2 linked regions of the Caenorhabditis elegans genome follow. The protein of the gene in region 1 interacts with the protein of each later gene in a biochemical or structural test. Each region holds a gene or a part of one and is shown on either strand. Other genes may lie near its edges.

What was found.
Region 2: of the proteins of jmjd-3.1 (region 1) and his-3, one has a biochemical effect on the other in vitro, tested with the Caenorhabditis elegans proteins (one study listed by BioGRID).

Annotation. Positions count from the first base shown.
Region 1 is NC_003284.9:8,569,297-8,575,640, forward strand, and holds jmjd-3.1 (Lysine-specific demethylase jmjd-3.1), read left to right. Parts: upstream 1-1,752; 5' UTR 1,753-1,777; coding exon 1,778-1,826; intron 1,827-2,098; coding exon 2,099-2,662; intron 2,663-2,802; coding exon 2,803-2,973; intron 2,974-3,026; coding exon 3,027-3,421; intron 3,422-3,468; coding exon 3,469-3,699; intron 3,700-3,750; coding exon 3,751-4,462; intron 4,463-4,508; coding exon 4,509-4,684; intron 4,685-4,741; coding exon 4,742-5,334; intron 5,335-5,394; coding exon 5,395-5,595; intron 5,596-5,646; coding exon 5,647-5,740; downstream 5,741-6,344. UniProt on the Caenorhabditis elegans protein: Histone demethylase that specifically demethylates trimethylated 'Lys-27' of histone H3, a mark associated with transcriptional repression, thereby playing a central role in the histone code.
Region 2 is NC_003283.11:16,039,106-16,041,965, reverse strand, and holds his-3 (Histone H2A), read right to left. Parts: upstream 1,159-2,860; coding exon 775-1,158; downstream 1-774. Other genes in the region: his-2 (Histone H3), read left to right, coding at 1-93; his-4 (Histone H2B 2), read left to right, coding at 1,451-1,822. UniProt on the Caenorhabditis elegans protein: Core component of nucleosome. Nucleosomes wrap and compact DNA into chromatin, limiting DNA accessibility to the cellular machineries which require DNA as a template.

The sequences.
Region 1 (6,344 bases):
TCTTCCCCTCTTCAATTCATGTGCTCTTTCGCAAAGTGCTCCTAAGCCTTCTACTCTCGCTTTCACTCGTCCACAATGGCGGTCAACTCGGTCGATGGAAGCAGGCCACACACACACACACACACTCACACATACAACCGCCTTCTGCTAGCCCGTTGCAATTTATTGCGTTCATCCGTTTTTCTTCCCATTTTTTTGAATCAAACATCAAATAGGCCAACCAATGAAAAGGGACGGTAAAAATTCACTGCTTTATGAGCTAATATATTTTATCACCCCGTTTGTTTTGCGCACCGCGCCAAAGAATGAGTCGCACAATTTAATGATAGGCATTCAATTTTTGGCTACGTTTACAATACCGTATATCGCATACTTTTATGCAGATAATTTCATAAAGTAAAGCAAATCATTGAAATTCTCCATGCCATGTTGAAAATAGCTTTGAGCAAACTAGTAGGAGAAAGTAGGAAAACGTACTATGTTGCGAAAATAATTAATCTTAACTATTTTTATCTTGATTAGTTTGATCAAAAACGTATATGTTGTACACTAAAAGAAGCTACTTAGTTTCATATGTTAGACCAAAAAAGCGGTGTACTTTTTTCAATTTCACACACGTGTTGTTTCAAATTGTTTTATTTTTGATTCAAAAGAACCTAGCAAATTTCAGTTTTATTGTCTAATTAATGTTCAAAAGTAGATTTGTGAATGTATTGCAATGACAACATGACATATACATTAAATATTGGGCAGGCCACATCTTATTAGTCCCTTCACTCTTTCTTCTCACGAGCTTAGTTATTTACTCGACTGGAGCCAAATAGATTGCGTGTTCGGCCGTGTTGCGTTCTTTTCACACGTGGCTAGTCTCAATATATCTAACCAACAAGCAAGCAGAGAAGCAACGTCTCGTTCTTTATTTTTCCTCGAGCGCCGTTCCTCGTTTGATATTTATTTACGTGCGTGTGCACAACGCACAGCCATCTATAGCTAGTCAGTGTATGCCCCGTCAACAACAAAAACAAAACGAAAAAAAAACCACGCTATCTTTTCTACCTCCTCGTTTGACGTCGTTCGTCCATACTTCATTCATTGACATCGTGGGATGGGCAGTAAACAAAACTACTGTAAATGCTAGTTTACTATTTTGTTGTATTTTGTATTCTAGTTGTGTTTCTTTTCTAAAATTAACCCTAGACAAAAATGAAATGGCAGCTGGATTAACCAATAATACTGTGAATGCATAGATAATGCCAAAGTTCATGAAAAGGGCAGATATATGTACTTTAAGTTATGTAAAGATCCGGGAATGTCTACAAATGTGCACGTACTCTCTATTAATAGTTTGATGGGATTCTAAATTTGAGATTTAATCAAACTAAAATGTTTGCTTTTTCGATCTGCTTTTATCACTTCAACTCAAGCTTTAAAAAATTATTCAGAGCCTGGCAATGTTCTCACCTACGCATCGTGTTTCCTGCTTATCTCCTCATGATTAACTTGATTCAATAAATGGATTTGACCTGGTTTATACATGTGTATTTGAGTAAACTTAAACCCTTATTTTAGATTGGCACCTTTTCAGTTACATCTTAATTATCTACGTCATTATCATTGAAGTGCCTAACTAGAACTTCGGCTTTCTCACGTGCCTAATTAAATTCTTACAAATTTTTTGTCCGAACTGTTTTCTTTTTTTTTCAATAATCGCTTCTTGGATCTACCTACCCACCTATAAACTCATATTTACAGTTTGTTCCCCAGCATTTACCATCGTATGCAAGGGAAAAATTCACACTTGACTGGAATAACTGGAACTACACATTGTGAGTTACTTTGCATTTTTGCTATAGTGACCAGTTGGCGACCAAAAGTCGAACTGAAAAGATTAGTGCATTCATGCGAAAGTTCTACATAAGATTCAATTACATTAGTCATATTTTAATACGGATATGACTTTGATATTTAAAGATTAACAAGCAAGGTATCTAATTAATTAAGCACGAGTGCACGTTTCCGCAAATTTATACACCTAAAAACGCGGGCAGCATTCCTCTTTTCAATTTTTGCTACCTCATCTTATACTACTTATGTTTAGTTACTATTTTCGGAGCAAGCCCAAGAAGTATGTCATTGGTTAAAAACTCACAGGAAACTCCACCATTTCCCGGAATGAACTCCACCATGAGGCCAGTAGAATTCAACTCGACCAAGCAACCGGAAGCTCAGACTATTGATCAAGAGCAAGATGCTCCTAAAAGCTTTGATTTTAAAAATCAAACCCTTGGCGTGTATTCTGATACTGTGTTGAATCCACTCAAAAACGATAGTTTCAAGGATGAGCTGGTTGTAGATGTTCAGAAAAATCTTCCCATTGAATCGTTGACAGTATCTCCAAAGAGTTCTACTGACCAGAATTGCAGATCTACCAACGAGGCTATACGAATTGCAGGATTTGATAACTTTGCTGATCAGCTCCAAGAATCCAATGGCGTTTTCGAAGCATGCCCAGAGGCCCATTCAGAACAAGGAAATGAGAGTGAAGATTTTAAAGATTTGATCAATAGTGAAACTGAGTGCAACATTGAAGACGTTGTTCTCCCGACAGTACACGTTTCTACGGATTCTGAAGAAATCATTTCGGGCGATGTGATTATGAATGGTTAGTAGATTGTTTAAGTATAAAATATTTTTTTCATTCTTTGATGTAACTATGATTTTGATAGCTTTTGAAAAATTGAAACAAAATACATAGTTAAACTAATTTGGAAACATTCTAATACTTACTGGGAACATTTACAGACAGCAATGTAGTTTCAAAACCAAAAAATTTGGAAAAAGTCGAAACGCCTGATGTTCTCATTGGCAGTGGTTCAAACGACAAGCTCTCTGATATGACTGAACAAATTGGCAACAATCAGCATCTTGAAAAACTGATCTCGGAGAAAACTGAGAAATCACTCAGTGACAATGGTGAGAGCAACAGTTACCAGTTATTAATTTCTGAACGATAATATTTTTTTCAGAAACGACGTTGAAACCTGTGCCTGTGCAGCATACCAACAGTGTCGGAAGTTCGATTGGGACAACTTCTGGAGATTCAGAAATTTCTGACGATGACCAAAAATCATGGAGTCCTAAAAACGAATCGCTTGATTATCAACCTGCTTCTACTTCAAGCGAATTTACAGAAACAACCTCTGTGGCTAATCAAACGGAATCTAATGCAGGAAGTGTAGATGATTATTGCCCCCGCACGTCGATTGACATTGGATTGGACTCTTCCGCTCCTTCATGCTCTTCTGATGCAACAAGGGAGCCTACACCAATAAAAAAGCGTGGTCGAAAGAAGAAGGAACAATCTGCAACCGAACCCCCTATACCCAGGACGAAAAGAGCATATACTAAAAACCCAAATACGGTAAATTTCATAACTAATCTATTCTCAGTTTAATGCATAATTTACAGATCCGAAAACGCCGCATGAAAAAGAACCAATCTGACGATGAGGAAGATGATGGACCACCAAAAAGACGGACGATTAATTATCAAATTGAATTTCGTGATGCTTCTGGGGCTTGGACTATGGCTCAGCAGTTGATATTTGTTCGTGACTTCATGTCTAAAAAGAATGATAAAATAGTAAAACTGTCGAAATCAAGGCAAGACAGAGTTGACAAATTCATTCTTCAATTTCAAGTCAGTCCGCATTGAAAATTATTGTTAAAAAACCAAAAACTAATATTTCAGAAAACCCAAGATTCTCACTACATGCGTGCTGCCATTCAGCTGAATACAATTTTCCCGGATCAAGGAAACTATCGACATTGTCAGGATTATTTGAAAGATCTTACCATTCGTGTAGTAGTACCGCCAAAGCGAAGAGAAGGAAAACGAAAAAGTGAAGTTCCTGCCAATCCACCAGCCCTTTTGCTAACTGGACCATTATATCTCAACTTCTATTGTACATCACAAGAAGTCCTCGAAGCGGCAGGTCAATTACTCGAATTTCATGTCAACGCCGTTTACAAAGATGAACGACTACAGCCTCCGGTTGCCGATAAGACACTTTTGGATCTGGAAAGAGCGATGTATCACGAGCAAGTCAAAGATCTTACTGACTATCACAAATACCGCATACCATGTCCAACTCTCACAGTCACCACCAAAGAAGAAGTATTCTCGTCGGATTTTGAGCGCATTTTGAACTCAGCGAGCATCACCAACATTAGCGGAATCGCAAAGGCTCTGAACATCAAGACTGAACTGTTTTCACTGCCAGAAATTGCAAAGTGTCATCCTGAATTATCCATTGATATTCTTAACCAAGTACCACAAAGTGCCGATGGAAACTGTGATAGTAAAGGAATTCGTTGTTGGGATGTTACATCGTACTCTTCTAAGATGAAGCTGCAAGATTTCGAGAGGTACATGCAGAAGGAGGAGTCTGAAGCAATGCAAGGTAATATTGACTTTTGAACATAAGATTTTTAATCTTTGTTTTTAAGCTTTCGAAACGATTTCAAACTGCACAGCAAAAGAATTAGAGAGCACATGCCAGAAATTGAAAGCTGAGAGAATTGCAGCTCAAAACGCAATTGAGGGCTGTGATGAAACAATGCCTTGGATCAAGTTTGGAACAAATATCGACTTGCTTTCCGAAAATTTCAAGAAGCAGATGAATGTTAGTGATATTCTACATTTTTCAAAATAATTTATCTAATTCTCTATGTTCTTACAGGAAATCGAAAAGCTGCCGACGTTCCTGCTACCAAACCGTGAAGGAAACTTGCTCAACTACGCAGGAGTAGACGTTCTCGGCATCAATACTGTACAGATGTACGCGAAACCAATCGGATCACGCACTCCAGCACACATGGAAAACTCACTCATGGCTAGCATCAACTGGAACCGCGGTCCGGGAACGTGCGTCTGGTTTGCTGTGCCGTACGAGTATTGGGGGCAGCTGGAGTTTATGATTGGAGAGCACGGGCACAAGTACCAGGATCAAGACTATTGGCCAAGCGAAAAGGAATTACTGGAGCTGGGAGTTCCTGTAATTAAATTCGAGCAAAAAGCTGACGAGATGGTATATGTCAATACTGGATGTTTCCATTGGGTGCAGAGCAATAGCTTCTGCATCAATGTATCTTGGAATGTCGGACAGCCAAACTTCACTCAGCTGGCTACCTCAATAGTGGCTCACGATCACAATATGCTCATTGGGAACCAGGCGCATGTTCCATTGGTAAATCTCGTTTGGAATGCTGCACGTCAGAGGCTTTTCGTCGACGATCCCGAGATGTATAAAGCCATGCGCGGTGTCATGATCAGGTTAGTACATATGATAATAAAAATTTGCTATTTTCTAAACAATGCTCAATCTAATTTCAGATCACTTGCCCATTCAAAGTGGTACTTTGATCTTATTGATCATCATGACTACATTGTTGGAGACGCTAGCGAATGGAAGCTTGCTGATCGCGTTCAACGATGTAAATACTGTACATCTGAAATCTTCAACATTGTCAGATGGTACACCACAGAGGACTTATCAGTAGATTCGTACCCCTTCTGCTCTCATTGTCATGTAGCGTGAGTTTTATTCAGGATCAATGAATCATCAATGAACAGTGTGTTTTACAGAAACGAATACAAAAAGGACAGGTTCCTCAAGTACACATGGTTCTTTTCATTAGAAACATTGGTTAATATTTTTGATGCCTACGTTCCTAATTAAATATTTATCCAACAATGGTGCCTTCTAATATGTTTTCTAGGATTTTTCCTCAAATTTTAACGTTCTTTTATGATGTTCTATTAGTTTTTTACAGCGTTTAAATGCTGTTTTTCTGTATTTTTTTTCAATTTTCATTTTTAGCATTTGTTTTCCCGAAATCAACTTTCAAAATTTCCAACTCAAGCCTTTCTATCTCAATTACATCCCTAATTTCTTTCGAAGAAAAACGTACCTCGCCCCTTAATTATGATTCTTTCCATCAAATGGTCCCTGACTTCTCACGTTTATCCATCACACTCCTCGCTCTCGCTATCTCTGCAATTATCGGTGTATTTTATCAAAGAATGTTATTCAAAGAATGTTAAAAATATTGAAAATTAAATCATTTACTATATATAAAGCGCGTGTCCTTCTGTCCCTATGTAGTTTGATCTTTGATCTTTGGTCTTTGAACTCTGTAGTTTGTAGTCTCAATCACCTAAGAGGGGTCCTATAGCCCCGCCCCTTTTGTGACGTCATCACAAATTGGCGGGAAATTCAAATTTTCTGAGAAATCATTTTGGCGGGAATTTAAAATTTTAATTTTTTGAAAATATTTTGGCGG
Region 2 (2,860 bases), on another chromosome or scaffold:
GACACCAACTTGTGCGCAATCCACGCCAAGCGAGTCACCATCATGCCAAAGGACATCCAATTGGCCAGACGTATCCGAGGAGAACGTGCTTAAATTTCTGATTTTCAGAAAGTTTGAGACCGTTTCAATTCAAACCCCACCGAACCCAACGGCCCTCTTTAGGGCCACATACATATGATCCAATCATTTTCAATCCAATTTGAATAAATTATTCATTATTTTTTAACTTATTAAAAAAAAAGAACAAAACCAGGAAACTTTAGAGCCATACAATTTAGTATATTTTTATAATATCAAAATGTTTTACTGTCCTCACAGAAAGTGTCATTAATGACGTCATCAATTGCCTATCTGAGTCAGATCCAGGTCCAAACAATTGTAGGTATTGTGACGTCACTATATCTTTGTTTCTAAGGAATTTGCAACCACGTGTATTCAAATACTCAACCAGGAAAACCTCTCTAAAATCATATTGTTCAACAAGGTCACATTCAATGACAACTTTGAATTTGGCGCCAATTTATTTGAATTTGGAATGACCTCGTCCAATTTTAATTAACATTTGTAAGACAGAAGAAAATAATTACGAATCGTTTTGTGAATCAACCAAATCCAAAAAGAAGTTTCTTCTTTGCAAACGATTTTCAATTTATAATAAAGTACGTGCAAAAACCATTGATAAAAATAATTTTTATTCATGTTCAATAGAGGATTTTAAATATTTGTGGCCCTAAAGAGGGCCGTTGGGTTCGGTAAAATGTTTTAAGAAGGCATCTATTCCTTGTCTCCTCCGGTTTTCTTCGGCAAAAGAACAGCTTGGATATTTGGAAGAACTCCTCCTTGGGCGATGGTTACTCCAGCCAACAGTTTGTTCAACTCCTCATCGTTACGGACGGCCAGTTGGAGATGTCTTGGGGCAATTCTGGTCTTCTTGTTATCACGGGCAGCGTTTCCAGCCAACTCGAGAACCTCAGCAGCGAGGTACTCAAGAACGGCAGCCAGGTAAACTGGGGCTCCGGCTCCAACACGTTGAGCGTAGTTTCCTTTACGGAGAATACGGTGAAGACGACCAACTGGGAATTGGAGTCCGGCTCTTGATGAGCGGGACTTGGCCTTTCCTCCGGTCTTGGCTTTGCCTCCCTTTCCGCGTCCAGACATGGTGATGATTGGTTGGTAGATGTAAAAACGATCTGAAGGAGACCATTAGACCACACTCTTTTAAACACAACTGCGGTGACTAGGCGGGCACATAGACACAAGGCAGGTGGAGGAGGTGGCAGAGTGACCGAGAAAAACTGTGCACTCTGCGTATTCGGCTGGGGAGACTACATAGAAATGTGTCCCCGCAGTATGTCCATAGGCTCCTCCTTCCCACCGATGAATTATTATAAAGGAAATGGCCATCAACCCATTCTTTACACTTGTCCAACGACCAGTCCAATCAATCGAAATGGCCCCACCAAAGCCGTCTGCTAAAGGAGCAAAGAAAGCCGCCAAGACCGTCACCAAGCCAAAGGACGGAAAGAAGAGACGTCATGCCCGTAAAGAATCCTACTCTGTGTACATCTACCGTGTACTCAAGCAGGTTCATCCAGACACTGGAGTCTCTTCCAAGGCTATGTCTATCATGAACTCTTTCGTCAACGACGTCTTCGAGCGTATCGCTGCTGAGGCATCTCGTCTTGCTCACTACAACAAGAGATCCACCATCTCTTCTCGCGAAATTCAAACTGCCGTCCGTTTGATTCTGCCAGGAGAGCTTGCCAAGCACGCCGTCTCTGAGGGAACCAAGGCTGTCACCAAGTACACCTCCAGCAAGTAAGCATTCAATTGCTGAAAGCAATCTAACCGAACCCAACGGCCCTCTTTAGGGCCACATTTTTAAAAATCCAATTTTTCTTCTGTTTTTAAACTGAAATAAAGTTTTTACGAATATGAGGATAGTTTTTAAAATTAATTTTTAATTTAATTTTTAATATTTTTTTGTTTTTAATAATGTTTGTTTATTTTTATTTTATGGAGATAATTTTAATATTAATTTGTTTCATAAAAACACCTAGTTTTTCAAAGAGTCGTAAAATTGCACCCTTGTGTGTGTTTTTACTCCAGAGAAAATTGACTAACAAAATTGGAATGATAATCTGAATGTAAATGTTTCATATAAAGTGGGTTTGACATATAACATGCAATCTTGAACGCGAATACTGTAACTGTTTGCCTAAAACCTTGTCTACTTGTGCGATGATCAAGCTTCCAGATTTTTATAACTATGGGGACGTAAAGAAGTGCAGTTGTTAGAATAAGAATATTTAAAAATATAAATACATTCTAAACTTTGCAGCATTGTACTTTTAAAATTCCGGAAACCTACTTCGTACATCACTGGAAATTCACAATCGCGATTCTGGATATTTCAAGTGATCCTATGTGTATTTAAAAACCCGTTCAAATTTTTGGGTTCGATCGAGCTATCAAAAATGGGACAGATTTGTTCTTTCGAGTTCTTTGATTTCTGAAAATTTCCTTAACTCTTCAAAATGTAATACAAACTTCTGAAAACACTGAGAAATTTCTGAAAATTTCTGAAAATAGAGAATCCTATATTAATGGAGCATTTTTGAAAGTTTGGAAACATTCAAGAATTTGCTAAAGTTAGCTAGGATCTTTAAAAGATCTTTAGAAATTTCTTCTGGTCAACTCTACAAATGTTTAGAACCATTGAGAATGTTCTGGAAAACTCGAAAAAGTTTGAACAAACCCAGAAATTTCAGGAGTATTTGAAGCCTATTAGTCACTTGGAAATCAATGGGAAAGTTGGAGAAATTTTTTCTAGAAACCCGGAAACGATTAGAAATCTGGA